Linked DNA regions of Schizosaccharomyces pombe. Changing the gene in region 1 together with any one later gene gives a genetic interaction. Each region holds a gene or a part of one and is shown on either strand. Other genes may lie near its edges.

What was found. A genetic interaction does not mean that the proteins touch.
Region 2: of tsc2 (region 1) and gcn5, a mutation in one rescues a mutant of the other (synthetic rescue), as found in Schizosaccharomyces pombe (2 studies listed by BioGRID, with this or other methods).
Region 3: mutations in tsc2 (region 1) and leu1 are lethal when combined (synthetic lethality), as found in Schizosaccharomyces pombe (2 studies listed by BioGRID, with this or other methods).

The regions. Positions count from the first base shown.
Region 1 is NC_003424.3:367,804-377,537, forward strand, and holds tsc2 (Rheb GAP, tuberin Tsc2), read right to left. Parts: upstream 6,329-9,734; 5' UTR 6,162-6,328; coding exon 2,142-6,161; 3' UTR 2,038-2,141; downstream 1-2,037. Other genes in the region: SPOM_SPAC630.12 (lipid phosphatase), read left to right, coding at 769-2,037; transcriptional corepressor Tup12, read right to left, coding at 6,880-8,027, 8,291-8,643, 9,041-9,128, 9,190-9,313. UniProt on the Schizosaccharomyces pombe protein: Together with tsc1, required for uptake of various amino acids from the environment and for proper conjugation. Involved in induction of gene expression of permeases and genes required for meiosis upon nitrogen starvation.
Region 2 is NC_003424.3:4,971,676-4,976,198, reverse strand, and holds gcn5 (SAGA complex histone acetyltransferase catalytic subunit Gcn5), read right to left. Parts: upstream 2,576-4,523; 5' UTR 2,084-2,575; coding exon 719-2,083; 3' UTR 501-718; downstream 1-500. Other genes in the region: SPOM_SPAC1952.06C (uncharacterized protein), read left to right, coding at 1-453; SPOM_SPAC1952.04C (uncharacterized protein), read left to right, coding at 2,864-2,955, 3,169-3,182, 3,277-3,347, 3,537-3,773; OUT family ubiquitin-specific cysteine protease Otu2, read right to left, coding at 4,062-4,523.
Region 3 is NC_003423.3:1,973,890-1,977,628, reverse strand, and holds leu1 (3-isopropylmalate dehydrogenase Leu1), read left to right. Parts: upstream 1-1,954; 5' UTR 1,955-2,025; coding exon 2,026-3,141; 3' UTR 3,142-3,239; downstream 3,240-3,739. Other genes in the region: top2 (DNA topoisomerase II), read left to right, coding at 1-1,376; anaphase-promoting complex substrate recognition subunit Apc10, read right to left, coding at 3,564-3,639, 3,698-3,739. UniProt on the Schizosaccharomyces pombe protein: Catalyzes the oxidation of 3-carboxy-2-hydroxy-4-methylpentanoate (3-isopropylmalate) to 3-carboxy-4-methyl-2-oxopentanoate. The product decarboxylates to 4-methyl-2 oxopentanoate.

The DNA of each region.
Region 1 (9,734 bases):
TGGAATTTTTCAGTTTCTTGGAATTTTTATATTGATTAAATATCTAGTCATTGTCAAAATAGATATTACGTTACATATTTAAACTAGTAATTAGTAAGGCCGAAGTATCACGAAAAGTCACTTTTATGATAAAATTAAACTATAGAATGTATTCGTCTATATGAATTCTGGACCTTAATAGTTTTCTATATGAGTAATTTAAAATAAGATTGTACCTTTCTCTGATTAGGCGACATTTAGAACTTATCCTCTCTAGCTACGTGCTTCTGAAGATTGTTCAATATCGACCTAAATACAAAGCAATTAATGAGTCAGTTTATAAATTAAATCAATTAGAAGGTGAATATTACTTGTTGAGTGAAAATAGTGGGTATTCAATCAAGAAATTGAGCACCGCAAAGCTTCATATTAAGATTCTCTACATGAGGCCAGTCGCTTCTTGAGCCAAAGGTCCTTCAGTTTTCCAAACTTCACAATTTTTGAAGTCTTTACTAACAAGGTTTATCTAGAAGAAAAATACACCTGTTTCAAAGTCATACTAAGAACAGGAATAATAAATTTAACTAATCATTAGGGTCTAGTGTCATTTCTCCAACATTTCGGTTTTATTGTAAACGTGGAGTTTCATTAGATTGCTTTGAAATTACTCGACCTTTATTCTGCATCGATAAATTAGAACGTAGTGTATATACTTGGCATACTATCTCGATTTACTATTCTTACTTTCTTAGAGCGTGCATTTTTAATAGAAGAAAAGAATAACTGAAGATGAAAGTAGGTCGTTTTTTAGTCATAATTGCTTTTTGTTTTTATGTTCTTTATCTCGAGAAAATTATTCATACAAGGCCACATAAAAAGTGCGATTGGCGGTCTTGGGAGCAATGGGAGAGTACTGGGAATCCAGTAAGGATTGCATTGGTTGCGGATCCTCAATTAGTTGACGATTTGACTTATGATTATCCTCGACCTTTAATTGGAATCGTTAAATGGATTTCCGACCAGTTTCTTCGTCGGCATTGGCGTTATCTTCATAAATCACTGAAGCCAGATATTACTTTCATAATGGGCGATTTGATGGACACAGGTAGAGAATTCGCAACTGAAGAATTTAAAAAAGATTATTTCAGAATGATGAACGTCCTTGACCCAAAATTCACCAATAAATTGGAAATCTACCCTGGCAATCATGATATTGGATTTGGTAATCACGCTATTGTTAAGGATATTCAAAGATTTGAATCTCTTTTTGGTCCAACATCTCGATCAATAGACGTTGGCAATCATACACTGGTTATTGTAGATGGAATTCGTTTATCAAACAACGTCAATCCCCAAGTTTATCAACCGGCTAGAGACTTCTTAAAAAGCTTTGAAACAAATAAGGACAACTCGAGACCTAGGATCCTTCTATCTCACGTTCCTTTGTTTCGCCCTGCCATCAATTCTTGCGGGGAGCTTCGTGAAAAAGATGATGTTATCAAATATGGTTTGGGATATCAGTATCAAAACTTGCTTTTGCCAGAACTTTCCGAGTCTATTTTAAAAGCTGTTGAACCAATTGCCGCATTTGCTGGAGACGATCACGATTATTGCGAAGTTGTGCATAATTACCAGGTGGATACTCGAGAAGCAGCCACCACGGAATATAATGTGAAGGCATTTTCTATGACCAGCGGCATACTATATCCGGGATATCAACTTCTCTCATTGAACTATCCTTATGACAACCCTAAAGCCGATCAAAAAAGTTCTTATCAGACAAAGTTATGCATTCTTCCTAACCAAATTCAAATTTATGTTTGGTATGGTGCTTCTATATCCATCTTTTTTGCTCTTATATTATTGAGGACTGCTATCTTTTTTTTTGGAACTGACCGTTATAGCCTCCCACTTTACAAAACTCATGCACGCCGATTTTCATTGTCAACAACAATTCATTTGTTTAAAAAAATTGTGCGCATAACCCTTTCTACATTCATCTCATATACATGGATACCGTTTCTTTTATTCATCTTCCTTAACATCTTCATTATCTGATCTATAAATAATATTTAAGATTAAATAAAAAAAATTAATTAATGATGGCAAGGCACAATCGTAATCAATCTTTTAATTTAGGACTTTTTATATGCCCTTATGGCTCATAAATAACTAGTAAAGTCCGAAAAATTCGTGCCATTTTGAAGCTTGGTCTTTGTTTGCTCGTCGAGATTGTAGTCTTCTGGTAAAACTGAAGCTTGAAATTTTTCGCGTAATCTTTTTAACTGTCGTAATCTTTCAGCCCATATATGAACATAATCACCAGCACTGCGATGATATATATGTGAAAAAACGGCAGCGTTCAGAGTTACATCACGAACAATTGCCGGTAATGCATCGCTTGAAACAATTTTGTAACGACGGAATAAGCTAAAGTCAATATCATATTTGGTCAACGCTTTAACTTTATAAAATTTAATTTGACGCCCTGTTCTTCTGATAGATTCGGATTCAGGGGTAATAACAATGTTCACAAAGTTGAACTGACTAGGAATTGTATCAAAGTCGTACTCTAAACCAGATTCGTTGAATATAATAGTAACAAAGTCATTTCCAATATGACGCTTCTTTAATGTGCACCCAGGGTCATGTTCTATATTAGTTGGCATCATTGTAGTGCAATGGAACACCATTTGGGTAACTTTATCTTTCCAACAATACGCAAACGCACCGTCTATATCATTTTCCCTATCTAAACCACCAGCGAAAACTTTTTGATCTGTTTTTAATTCGAATAATGTGCCCAGACCGTTAAGAAAAGTAAGGAAATCTTCAGAAGGATTTGTATTTGCCAATATGTCTGCTTCTCGACGCTGTTGGTACCCAACGTACACAAGACCAGCCTTCAGTGATTCAATTACAGGAATACGGTCAAAAACACTTATAGCCCTACGCACAGAATCATCATTAGAGGGAAGCAGAAGAGGCTGATTGTATAAAGAAATACCATGTGGATCCAAGAAATGAGAGACAAAGCTGCTAGGAGTACACAAAAGCCCCCTCGTAAGAGCCTTTGAACTTGTGAGATTTTCCTCCCATAAAAACTTTTGCAGACTTGCTTCATTTCGAAAAGTATACTGCGTAGTACCTGTCGGGCGACGAATGACAGCTTCTAAGAATCCAGAGTTTACCGACACGTTTATCGTAAAGAGTGAATTACCACGAATCCAAGTTTCACTTTCCACGTCTGAGTCAACAAAAGTAGATGTTTGGTTATTGATGTCGGAATTAGAATAGCAAAATTGTTGCATCATGTCATATTGAACAAGACATAAATCTTCCAATGGTTTACCTTCAGAAGCAAGCTTCAGTCCACGCAATATCCAAGGTACGAATTTTTTACGCTCAGTTAATCTTAACGAAAGAAACCATATTTGTAACACGCTATAGGCTAGAGCTAGAACGTATGATGAGTAAGAGTTTTTTAATATGCTCTCCGTATCATTTGAATCTTTCGACTCCTTAGTGAAATCTCTGTGCTGAATGTATTTCAAAGCAATTGCAAAAATTTGTCTATAGTCAGCATCCGTAAAGTTTGCAATAAGATCAGGTAATCTTGCTAAACTGCATAAAAATTCTAAAATGTGAACGCTCAAATCAGGTTTGGTGATTAACCTTGACAAAGTGACTAAAATTGCAGGTAACTGCTTTCGAATTGAAACGGGTAATTCATAACAGCATAACATAAGTGAATGAATAGAAACATGACATGCTTCGTTCCATTTTTGCAACCCTGCAAAAAAAACGCTGACTAATTCATCTTCCTGAGCCCTGCTGAATTGATCATGATAAACAAAAAGCATTTGTACGTTTTGCAAGATTGGTATCATGATGTTGGCCTTACGAATATTAGAAGGAATTTCAGCAGATATAGAAACTCTTTCAAAAACGATATCACACATAAAATCAAGTAAATTATAGATTTCTTCTAATGCGCCGATAAACATACTCCTATTACTTATTTGATCAGCAAGGTGGGTAATCATGAACATAAGGATAGTCCAGTTAGACTCTGTAGCCATGGATTTTCGATAAAACCTTAACAAGGAAGACGTTGGGAACGTTACAAAGTCCTTGCCATATTCTGTAGAATGATTTGAAATTTTAATCAAATCGTTTTCTTTTCGTTCCCAAATATGCTTTTCTACTGTTGCTGAGTTAACAAAAGAATCAGAAATGGGATAAACTGCAGGAATCAGTTCTGAATCAACGTTTAAGACTTTGAAGGGTTCATTCAAATCTATATTCTCACATATATAAATAGACGTCCCATTTGCTCGAAATCGAAGAAAGAATTGTAAACACAACATTCGAGAAACAAAAGGGAAAGATGGAGTCTCCAAGATTTCTAACATTTTAGCCAGTGTTTCTTGAATAGGCACAGCATCCCTTAAGTCATAATAATAATAAAAAAGACGAATTAATGTACTCGTGGCAAGTCTGCGAACAGTAACAGAGCTCGTGTCGGAAATTAGCTGTTGAAAAATATGATCGATACAATCCTTAAGTCCCGGGTTTTGAAAATTGACAGACAAGAAAAACAACATATTATATACAGGAGAAACAACACAATCATCAGATTCCTTAGAAAAGCTTTCAATTACTGGAAAAAGGAATTTCGAACACAAAATGGGGGCCGAATTTTCATCAGCAACAGAGCAAGCATCTTCCACAAGCTTAAATAAAAGAGCTCGATCTTCAAGATCAAATGTTTTGCATTGGTAAATACCAAGTAAAAATTCAAGGTTGAATACCCAATATTGATTGCAAGGAAATATAAGATTGTAAGTCTCAAAAAGACGTAAAAGTTTTTTTCGAATTTTCGGCTTTAACACTGGAAGAACATCCTTCAAAAAGAATACCAGCTTAACCTGAAATTGTTGCAGCAGTGGAATCAAGGCTTCGAAATCCAAAAAATCCAAAACACGATCATATATATTAGCAAATGCTGCAGTCTTCGAAAATGCTTCCTTCGATGTACTAGCTTTCAAAGGTAGATATTGTGAACAATACATTAAAATATTAAGAATCCGATGCCAATCCAAAAAATTAAGGCGATTTAATATAGAAGGTGTACGTAAAAAAAGATACACAGTACCAAGGATCTCAAAATCAACATTCTCATTAAATCCTAATGGAAACTCAGTAAATTCAATACTTGAACTTAAAGTTATAGAAGCTATTGCATCATTTTTCACTTCTTGCAGCATGAGAAAACGCATTAAACGCACAGCGCCCCGTACAGCATTAACATTCGAGCGATTGTATTGAAGTATATTAAATACGTTTTCAAAAGCCAGATTTGACACGGGACTACTAATAAGATTAAATATAACAGATTGTGCAAGTTTCGAATATGAGTAGGTGCTGATGTATGTGCTACACAAAATAAGAACAGTATCATACAGTGAAGCTTTTGGAATAACCGAGTAGCGAATCATGGAATCAAAAAACATCAGAACCTCAGTAACCACATCTTCTAAGCGAGCGTGATTACATATTTGTACCACGGAATTAACAAGCTGTAGCATTTGAGGTTCAGGCACTAGGAACCACTGAAATTTTACTAAGTTGGTAGAAAACTTAAAAAGGCTTTTAAAAAAAAGCAAATGTACGAGCTTTGAATCTGCGTCTTTGCCTTGCAATTCAGTTGCTTGAGATTGCCATTGAAGATACTGGTTAAACCATGCACTCAACAAAGGACCAACCCTATTCTCAATACCGGAGATTTTGTGCCCTTCATCCGTTAAAACACTCAAACTCTTAAGCCGAAGCTGTAATTCAGCAATATCTTGAAAAGGATCTTTCTCAATAGTTTGAAAAAAAGTGTGGCGCTCTATAATCGAGAGATGCTTTTGTGTAGAAACATATCTCATCATAAGATTGTATACAAGCTCCCGAAAAGCAGCATTATCGTTTTTGGTGGAGATAAAATCCTGAATATTTTGCCATACTTGAATGATAGAAGTCGATGAATATATATAGTATTTTAAGCCATGGTAAATACTCCTTACAATCTGATGCCTTTTTTTAAAAGGAAGGTTAGCATCAAAATATGATAGAATGTCTGTATCTTTGATAGCAGGCTCACTAGAAAGATCCAAAAGTGATTTATTGTTCATCTATGTGGCCTTTATTTTTCAACGTCAATAAATTAGGACCTTCAGCAGAATAACCACATAAAGCAAATCTGAACTCTTAACTTAATGGAATATTCAAGATCATAAACTATGAGCATGGAAGTTGATTTCAAGTATTAGCTACACTGGTAGGGGTGGGGAGGAGAGCTGACAGGCTGCTATGAATTAGGGGAAGCATTACCTTATCTAAGAGGAATAGGTTGAAACGACATTAAAACTAATAAATAGAAACTTAGTATTCGACATTCAAAATTCAAAAAATATATGAAGTTATTTAACCGTAAAAACCAATTGCTAAGTAGCTAGGTCGCGCAAACATATACATAACTTGAAGGGTCTATTAAATATATACAAAAGTTGGGATTTAATAGTTAATGAAATACTATGGATAAAATCAGAGTTTCGGTTGTCGGGGATTGTATGGAAGTATCAAAAATTAAAAAAAGGGAATTGAAATGATTCAAGAATTAGCAAAAACATCTGGTCGGCTTGACTTGATAGAAAAATTCCGACCAAAATAAGCCGCAAGTTTGAAGGGTTACAAAATCGGTTATGAATTTTTATAAAATAAAGGAAAAAAGACTTGCCAAGAAGCGAGTCTCACAATGGTCAATGGGCATTATTGGCAAATGAAGAATTAAAAAATTAAGTAGGTTTCGGACATTGTCATTCAATGCTATAAATGAAACATCGCTAGTTCTTACAGATCCTCATAAGACCAAATTCTTGCTCGTAAGTCACCACTACCAGTAGCAAAGCAATGGCCATTCGGGCTAACAGCAACCGATATTACTGAGTTATTGTGTCCCTGGAGAGTTAACTGAGAATGAGGAGAATCGGGGGACCAAAATTGGATGGTTCGGTCTTTCGAGCCGCTAATAATCCATTTTCCATCCGGAGAGACAGTGACACTTAGAATAAAATCTTTATGTCCAGTAAAAGTTTGCTTGCAAATACCGCCTTCCTTATACATGCTGGGTGCAACGTTGGAGACGCATTGCAACTCCCATAACTTAATTGTGTTATCCAAACTTCCACTAACCAGGTATTTTCCGTCAGGAGAGAAGGCAACGCTGTAAACACTCTCTTCATGACCATGAAGCTGCTCTACTAAAGTTCCGGACGATGTCCAAATCCTAATTACCTTATCTAAAGAACCTGCAGCAATAAATTGACCGTCGGGAGAAAACATTACTGTAGTAACACCATCATCGGTATGCAAAATTAGTTTTTGCTCGCCAGCTTCAACATCCCAAAGACAAACAGTTCTATCTCCACTACCAGAAACCAATGTTTTTCCATCTTTGCTAAAATCAAGGGAATAAATTTCTTGCTCATGCCCAGTCAGTAGACGATAAACACGTTTTTGAGCGATGTCCCATATTCTGATTTGTTGATCTTCGACACCAGTAGCAAGGTATTTACCATCAGGACTAAATGCTACACTGCGAACATATAAATCACCTTCACGCTTCGAAGATTCCTCCTGCAGAAGCGTAATTAATTTACCGGTCTCCACATTAAAAACCATAGCTGCTCTGTTACAACCCGTAGCCAAAAATTTTCCATCGGCACTAAACCTTACATAACAAATAACGCTTGTGTGTTCCAGTGTATGAAGTAGTTGAACAGAGATCGGGGGTTCTTTGTTAGGTACATTGCTAGTGACAGTCCAATCTTTCTCCTCTCTATTAGGCACATTGGATGTCGGAATAATTTCAGCAGGATAAGGAGGATTACCTGAGACTTTTCCGTTTACAACCAAAGGAGCAGCGATAGGTGTGACGGAAGAATTAGCTGAGTCAGATGGAGGTGGAGGATGTCCGAGCGGTAAATTGGAAGGAAATGCTGTGAATGGTAAGTAAGAAAATCCAAATTAAAACGAGGAAGCAAAATAGTTTCGGCAATAGTATTTTGTTTTACAAAAAATGAACAAAAGCCGCAAGGAATTCAAACGAATTAATGACAGCATTAAAAAATTGTCTGGGAACATACGGTGTACAACATACCAGATGCAAACAATAAAGTGAAAGACAAAAAGTATCTATAAACTTGATCAAGTCAAAAAACAAATGCTGTTGCCAAAAGCTACAATGCAAGCTTGAACTTACTTCGCATAGCAGATCCAGCCATGGTTGCACCCACAGCAGGGCGTACATGAGGACTGGAATAATATTGTGAACCAAGATCTACGTTCGAGGTCTGAATAGGAGCTAAAACAGTACCATCTGAATCAATGGCAGGTGATCGAAGATTTTTAGGAGTTCCTCCAGAAGAACCGTTATTAAGTATCAAAGGTTTCGAGGAGTTGTCCGAGTTAAAAGGGCCCGCATTTCCATATTTTCCAAAAGAAACGCTATTGCGCCCGTGTTTAGTTTTCGAAGACTGTGGGACGACGCCAGAAGCAATTTCTTTGCGTCTAGCTTCCAGTTGAGCTTTTAAGGAGGTGATTTCTTCTTCGTAACTAGAGAGAGTTAGTAACAAGAAAGATAGCTTTCGAGAAAATATAATATAAAATTGAGAATAAATGTTCACATAGCAGAAGGCATGCTGGTGCTGACAAAAGTGTGAAAAGGACAGAGAATCTTCGAACAGTGATAAACATCCAAATACTGAGTAAAAAACGAAATACCCTTCATCGGAGTAAAAATATGAAAAGATTACTTAATAGAATTTACTCCCATCAAAGGAGCCACCATTATTTAGCATCTTTAAAGATTTATCGTCAACGACCGTAAATTGTATAAATATTTAGAGAGGAATCGCTTTTGTAAGACTCTACAACACTCACAATAATTGCATAACCTTGTACTAATATAACAAACCTTCTCGCCAAGCGTGTATTAGGAAAATTGACATACCGATCCTTCACTTTAGACTGCTGCATCTCCAAATCCATAACGGTTTGTTTCATGAGCGCCATTTCATTAATTTGTGCAGATATCATTGCTAATTTAAGAAGTGTTAGATTTGTACCGCAAATTTGTCAGCAAATTCTTGTATAAGATACCTTTATATTCAAAATCATCCTTTTGAGCTTCAACGGTTTTAGTTTTTTGACAAATATCTTCAAATTCCTTTTTAACCGCTTCTAAAAGCTCATTTACACGTGATGATACATTGGACGTCGCCATAAATTGAAACTTGAAGATGGTAAAAGTGAATTGGCGGACAGTAATCATGAATGATGTTGTTTGAGAAATAACGAGAAATAACATTCGTTAATTTCGGTAAAACCTTCTCGGCTTCGAAGCTAAAGTAAGCAAACTATGTTGAGATTAACATGTCAGGAAAGACAATTTCACTTATGCTTAGCGAGACAATATTGTTGAATTAGTAATTTGGCTGTTCATTCAACTTGCCGCAGTTGGAAAATGTAAAATCATTAATTTGTGATGAAACCTCGTAAAACATATTTTTTAACGTTAATCGATTGAAACCCTTTTTGAATTAGTTCGTGAAATATCTTAACTCTAAAACCTTGAAAATCTTTAGATAGAAGATCCTTTTTTTTTTTTTTTGGGAAGAATATGAAGCGTTTTGATACAATTGGTA
Region 2 (4,523 bases), 4.6 Mb from region 1:
GACACCGTAGAAAGGGTGCGCTTTTTACGGAAATTCATTGAAAATGACTTTGAAAAAATGAAACGCCTTTTCAAAATTTACGATCGCTTGAGAATCCAACTCAAAGGTATTGACCAAAGCAGAAAACTTGATTTTAGTCCTGATTCGGAGGAAAAGAGTACCAAATGGTTTCTCCAACAAATTGATCATGGACTGTTTCCTTTCCAATCTACAGTTCTTATCCTTTCGTGGTTATGCGTTGAAAATACAGTGACATTGAAAAAAATTAAGATGCTGTTTTCCGAAGCATCCATTCCAATTGATGAGTTGACTGATGCTCTAAAAAATTATCATGAAAACCTTGAAGAACCGACGGTGGAGTCCGAAGAGGTGGAGGCCAACGACTCTTACTACAGAATTGACGAAAAACCTATGGTTACTGTTTTACTTGGATCTATGCAAGCATCTGTGTAATAAAATCATGACTTGTTCTGATAACATATTTTCAATTTAATGAGTTGTACATTTGTTATTATGGAACATAAAGAGTGTTTGGTATTATAGAATTATATATATTTTTAAACAAAAAAACTAAAAATTAAACACTAGCAGTTCTTGATATGCCAGCATATTTGGAAGGCACAAAAGATATTCGTGTAAAAAATTAAAAGGTGAAATGTATATGTTATAATCAATAAAACTTCGGAATAGACGTTTCGATGATAATAAATGTAAATGATTAATCGGCTAAGTGTGAATACTCAGTTTCACGAAGTTTTTTCTGGAAAAACTTTTCCAATCTATCGGCATTTTTATAGTAAGTCGTGTTGGAGTCATTGTAAGAACGGCAATTATCAAATATATATTTTGCATCCCGAATAAATTCCTCTACAGACTCATACTGGTTGTTACGCAACCGAAATTCCATAGTCGAAAGGTCCATGGGGTGTTCAATAACTTCGTAATAATCGGGTACATCCTCTTTACTAACCGGTTGCATAAAGGGCCAGGAAGACGGATGATTTTGCATTTCTGTAAAAAGCATTTCCAAAACGGCAAAAAAAGGTTTAGGTCTGGGCTTTTTGGAGAGCTCTTCCATTTCCTTGCACCATCCAACTTCCATCAACCCAGGAACTTGAGACGGCTCTATATGAGCTGGACCATCTTTGAATACGTCTAAACCAGGATAAACAACGTTCGACCGAGTGATCCTGTTAATTTTGGAAACAACAGCAGCTTTCTGAATAGCCAAAATCAGATTAGCTTCTAAATACTTTATTTTTGGAATCATGGTGCATTGCATAAGTGTGCCACCTTCGTAATCCTTAATATAGCCAACCCATATAGACTTGTCAAGAGTAATTTCCTTAGTAAATCCTTGTTTTTTAAAATACCCGATTGCATAGTTATCTGCATATGTCAAGAAGTGCTGAATTGTAGTAGTTCCACGGACATAATCCTTTAAATGATTCATTAAATGAGAACCATAACCACGAACCTGTTCATTGGAAGCAATCGCACAAAATACAATTTCGGCAAATCCTCGTTGTTCAAATGGACGATAAGTAATACCGCCCACTACATGTAAATTATCTTTGACAATGGTCATTGAAAGATGGTTTCGATCATAAATTAGCCGCGTAATGTATTCTTTTGGCATTTTAGGAAGTTGTTTCATAAATATGTTTTTTAAACCAGTCAACATGATCATACTGTCGGCGGTGTCGTCGTTAGAAACAACACGAAATTGAATAACGCCGCTTTTTTCTTCTAATACAGATGGCTTTTCAGTAACTCGTACACTACTAATATCAAAATCAACATCTAAATCTGTAGCCACGAGCTTTCTCTTTTTAGAATTTGAAACTCCGTTAGGTACGAAATGAGAGGATGAGCTTTCCGTATCCTTGTTTTCCTTTACAGCTAAAGATTCTTGTCCATCGGAATTAGCAATTGCTTCGCGAACATTTGGATTGGATTGTTCGTCCTGTTTTACCGGTTTATCATGTACACTATCGTTTGACGCATTTGGAAAGTTGGAAGATGTACTGTCTACAACACTTGAATCGGGTGGTCGTGTTTGATCATTTAACGAATTCGACATGATTATTCTATGCCACGCATCCAAACAAATAAATCCAAAAAGTGAAGATACAGAAATTGTCAAGAACGATACAAGATGAAACGAGCACGAAAAAACGGTATATAATAACGAAATACAGAAAATTAAAATAAACGATAATTTGTTAAAATATACACCACGAACCCAGTTATTTGTCTCGAAAATTTTGTTTTTGGCACCAACAATGTGAAAAGACGTCGACCAGCCCTTTACCTTTCTAAAACTTAAGGAAACTCGGCAGGGATTCTCTTAGAAAAAGAACCTCTTTTTATAGAAAGAGTTTGAACACAAGTCAACCGAAAATGACCGTATCAAGGAGAATTTTTTAATCTATAAAAAAAATCTCAGATTTGCGCTCCAAAATACAATCAATTTTTTAATACTTCAAATCAACGATTATCCTAATATTTACTAATTAAAGACACAAATACATGATTTGACTTGGGATGCAAGATTAGAAAATTTCTTCTCTACGAATTTTCTGCTTTCATTTTTTGAAGTTATTGGTGTTGCTTCTAAATATAGAGACGCACCGTAGTTCGTTAGCAATACCTCTTTTTGTGATGATATTCTTTTATGTATTTAGCGATAAAGCTAACGAAAATATTTTCTGTGATATTACACTAACTGTGAGGCTTAGTCTACGTACTAATGGAGTGACTCTGCTAAAACGAATATTTTGGATTTAACTCGAATTATTCATTATAATATCCAACTTCTTTTCTTTTTTTTTAAAGAAGATTTTAAGACTCTTAACGTGAGATGTTCCTCTTCTTGCCGATACCGCTGAATGTTCAAGACATATGGAAAGTCAATAGCAAATATAAGCACGTCTTACTGACATGTCCTGTATGGTATGAAATCAATGAATTAGTGTTAAAACAAGTGGATTGAGTACATTGTTTAAATGGCGAAGTGGAAATGGAACAATTGTAGAAACATTTTGTTTTCAGAAATTACGCACTTGTTTTTTATTAAAATTTGTCATTTAAAAATAGTTTCTAGCAGTCTTCTTGTTTTCCTTCTATTCTTTTCATCAGCACTTTTTGCTAATACTTTCTTTTTAGCCAAAATAAAACTGGTATGAGACACATATAAGTGGTGTAGTTGCATGAAGGCAATTGCTCTTTCTTTGGGTTGTTTTATTAATGTTAACGTAAAACTTTGGTTTTTAGTTCGGGTATATCGTTTGGTTAAATCTTTAGCACTCATCGTTTTGCCTGTTCTCCCGGTTTATACGAGTAAGGTAAGGGAATTCAAGAAAGCATATGTTATGTAGTTGACCCTTTCTACTTATCATTGTTTGGAAACCTGACAGACCTTGTTTGTTATTTTCTAAGCCATTCTTCAATCTTCAATGTTACATGCTTTCCAGGGAAAGTTGGGATTATTTTGCTGTCCAACTAATAAGCACTCACTTGCTAACTCAGAGCAGGTACTTCGTTGTTCTCATTGTGGGTGGTATGAACCAGTAGATTCGGCCATGATTGATCAAAGGCGCAGGCGTGAAGATCTTCCTACTCCCGAAAGACCTGAGGCGAGTGCTCAACAGCATGCATTTTTTCCTGGCTCAAGTTCGCAACAAACCGATATTCCTAACGTTCGTCCTCAACCACATATACCGCCTCCAAGAAAAAGTGATGAGGCACCACCCCCTTACAGCTACAAGTAATGTTCTACCTTAATTCTATTTATTGTTCTACCGTTTCTAATGCTTCCCTGATGAAGCTTTCTAAGCATGTTTGGTAATATTTATTGTGCATACTATATGACTGGATATGATAGATAATAATGGCTAATTTTTTTTTTTGATTAATAGAATACAGAAGAGTTTTAATTCATAAATATTATTCATATAATCTAACTCGTAAGGCACAGCCTTTTTAAATGGTTTCCGGCGAGGAAGGAAGCTAATAAACCAAAGGATAAAAACCTATCTAAAGCATCTCATTAGATCTTTTTAATTGTCCCGATATAATAAACTATTATAGTGAGCGCCAAGCCCAAACAAATGCTGGTAATATGCTATACACAACGGTTTTTCGAACTTGACCGTTGAGGGGTTAAACTTTAAAACTGGACCTTCTGTGTTGTAGACATGAACAGGAACCTCAAGAGAGTTTGCTAATGCCTGTATTTCAATATCACTTCCCCATTTGCTATTGTTTCGAATTTCGTTACAATAATCGGATACTGGCAAAACTTCTCCAGATTCTTCGTCTAGCAAAAAGCCTTCAAACTGTTCGCAGTGCTTTAATACATAATCAGCGGATTTATTACGAAGAGCTTGGCTATTTAGTTTAACATTATGATGATAATTTAACTGATGTGAAATGGAAGCAAATAAACAATTTCCATCCGCTGGTATATCGACTGCAACAAGTCCAGCTTCCTCAAGGATTTTTGAAAACTTTTTTTTCTC
Region 3 (3,739 bases), on another chromosome or scaffold:
ATATGATTGCTTTTGATGCATCTGGACGGATCAAGAAGTATGACAGTGTTGAAGATATTTTGACCGAGTTTTACGAAGTACGTTTAAGGACATACCAGAGACGTAAAGAGCATATGGTTAATGAATTGGAAAAAAGGTTTGATAGATTTTCAAATCAAGCGCGGTTTATTCATATGATTATAGAGGGGGAGCTTGTAGTTTCAAAAAAGAAGAAAAAGGATCTCATTGTGGAGCTGAAGGAAAAGAAGTTTCAACCTATCAGTAAACCAAAGAAAGGGCATTTGGTTGATTTAGAAGTTGAAAATGCTCTTGCTGAAGAAGAACAATCTGGTGATGTTTCGCAAGACGAGGATTCAGATGCCTACAATTACCTTCTTTCAATGCCTTTATGGTCTTTGACCTATGAACGGTATGTGGAACTTCTCAAGAAAAAGGACGAAGTAATGGCCGAACTGGATGCTTTGATTAAAAAAACTCCTAAAGAATTGTGGCTTCATGATTTGGATGCATTTGAGCATGCTTGGAATAAGGTTATGGATGATATTCAGAGAGAAATGTTAGAAGAAGAGCAATCCTCTAGAGATTTTGTAAATCGAACGAAAAAGAAGCCTCGAGGTAAATCCACTGGTACTAGGAAACCCAGGGCTATTGCCGGATCCTCCTCAAGTACTGCTGTTAAAAAAGAAGCTAGCAGCGAATCCAAACCATCTACAACAAATCGAAAGCAACAAACTTTACTTGAGTTCGCAGCGTCGAAAGAACCTGAGAAATCATCTGACATAAACATTGTCAAGACAGAGGATAACTCTCATGGCTTATCAGTTGAAGAAAATCGCATATCTAAGAGCCCGGGATTGGATAGCAGTGATAGTGGAAAATCAAGAAAAAGAAGTCAATCTGTTGACTCTGAAGACGCAGGTAGTAAAAAACCCGTCAAAAAAATAGCAGCCTCGGCGTCTGGAAGAGGAAGAAAGACTAATAAACCAGTTGCTACTACCATATTTTCTTCAGACGATGAAGATGATTTGTTGCCTAGCAGTTTGAAACCTTCCACCATAACATCCACGAAGGCTTCTGCGAAGAATAAAGGGAAAAAAGCAAGCTCGGTAAAGAAACAATCACCTGAAGATGACGATGATGATTTTATTATTCCAGGTAGTAGTTCAACTCCAAAAGCTAGTTCGACTAACGCAGAGCCACCAGAAGATTCAGATTCTCCGATTAGAAAGAGGCCAACCAGAAGAGCAGCGGCTACAGTGAAAACACCTATTTACGTTGATCCCTCGTTTGATAGCATGGATGAACCCAGCATGCAAGATGATTCTTTTATCGTCGATAACGATGAGGATGTAGACGATTATGATGAGAGTGATTAGCTTCTAAAATTTGGTGTTTTCAAACGCTATTTACAGTACAATCTGAAAAAATTGGATGAACATTGTAAATGGTAGGATACGAGTTCCAATTAATGTATTTTTTAAGTATTACACTTAGCTTATTAATTTTATATATACATTCTACCTCTGTGGGTTTAAAGACAACTCGTACACATACTCAAATTATTTATGAACATTATAATGCATATTCGTACTGTCTATTAAACATTTTTTTGACATTAAAAATTTCGTTTACTAACGTAGAAAGCGCTGATAATTGAGGCTACTATTTTAATATCTAGAAACAAAGATTCATTAATTAATTAAGTAAGCTCCAGGATACTTGTATATTTCGTTAAAAAAGCGCAATTTCAACAATTCCTATGAACATCCATGATTTCATCACAAAATCAAACATATCAGGATTTAACGTGAATTATTTGCTTTCTTGTGATTTTCATCTGATTTCTGGTCATTTACGTTACTGTAAACAAGCTTTTTAAAAAAAGGATTTTTTACGCAATATTATCGATATCCCAATCTGTAGTATAAAAAGTGCAACAGTGTTGAGTTTCCCGAAACCAGGCATTTTTGCGGTAGGGTCTGAAACTTTCACGAAACCATTTCACAACAAAACTTCTTCAACAACATGTGTGCAAAGAAAATCGTCGTCTTACCAGGAGACCATATTGGCCCTGAAATTGTTGCTTCTGCCTTGGAGGTTTTGAAAGTCGTTGAGAAGAAGCGACCTGAGTTAAAACTCGAGTTTGAAGAACACAAGATTGGAGGTGCCTCTATTGATGCCTATGGAACCCCTTTGACTGACGAGACTGTGAAGGCTTGTTTGGAAGCTGACGGTGTTCTTTTGGGTGCCGTTGGTGGTCCTGAATGGACCAACCCCAATTGTCGTCCTGAGCAAGGTTTATTGAAGCTTCGTAAGAGTATGGGTGTTTGGGCCAACCTTCGACCTTGCAACTTTGCCAGCAAGTCTTTAGTCAAGTACAGCCCTTTGAAGCCTGAAATCGTTGAAGGTGTCGATTTTTGTGTTGTACGAGAACTTACTGGAGGTTGTTACTTTGGTGAGCGCACTGAGGACAACGGATCGGGTTATGCTATGGACACTTGGCCTTACAGTTTGGAAGAAGTTTCTCGTATTGCTCGTTTGGCTGCTTGGTTAGCTGAAACTTCCAACCCTCCTGCTCCCGTCACATTACTCGACAAAGCTAATGTTTTGGCAACTTCTCGTCTTTGGCGCAAGACTGTAGCTAAGATTTTTAAGGAGGAATATCCTCACCTTACCTTAAAAAACCAGCTCATTGACTCCGCAGCCATGCTTTTGGTCAAGAGCCCTCGTACACTTAACGGTGTTGTTTTGACTGACAACTTGTTTGGTGACATTATTTCAGATGAGGCTTCTGTCATTCCTGGTAGCTTGGGCCTTTTGCCTTCTGCCTCCCTTTCCGGTGTGGTAGGAAAATCAGAAGAAAAGGTTCATTGTTTGGTTGAGCCCATTCACGGTAGCGCTCCCGATATCGCTGGCAAGGGCATTGTTAATCCTGTTGGTACAATTTTATCTGCTTCCCTTCTCCTTCGTTATGGTTTGAATGCTCCTAAGGAGGCTGAAGCTATCGAAGCCGCCGTACGCAAGGTCTTGGATGATACTTCAATTGGTGGACGTGGTCTTTATACTCGCGATTTGGGAGGTGAGGCTTCTACCGCTGATATTACTAAGGCTGTTGTTGAAGAACTTGAAAAAATTTTGTAATAGGGTTTAATGTAGAATAAATTCATATGATTTGATTTGACCTAATTTTTATTGATTAATTGTGTCGCATATTTATTATCGTTAAAAATGCAATTGACAAAAGCGTAAATTTTAAGGCTCTAATGTTTTTTCTTTTGGTATGTTATAGTCAAGCAAAGATGTATTAAGTTGCAAAAGCATGGAATTGATTTACGACATCCGTTCAACTTTATGACCGAGTTGTCGCTGTGTACTTACTCTTTTTTTACTATGAAAAGTTTCAAACATAATATCATTAATTATTTCTTTTTAAACGAAGTAACCTGTAACATAAATAATAGGGGAAAAGAAGAAAAAAACCATAAAAATTCGAGAACGTAACAATTATTATTGTAACGATGACAACCCGATTCTTTGAGAGAGCCAGAGACATGACTTTTGCATTACCGTAATTGGTTTCTACTTATGAATTGTAAACTTGTGTAGGGAATTTCATCCACAGCTATCGCGGGCTGCTCTCTGCATCAGTGTTAGCACATTTTATATTAATGAAGATTTTGCTATGCAAAATACGTACATTTCTGGCGCATATATTTTTATCAAACGAACATGACTATCC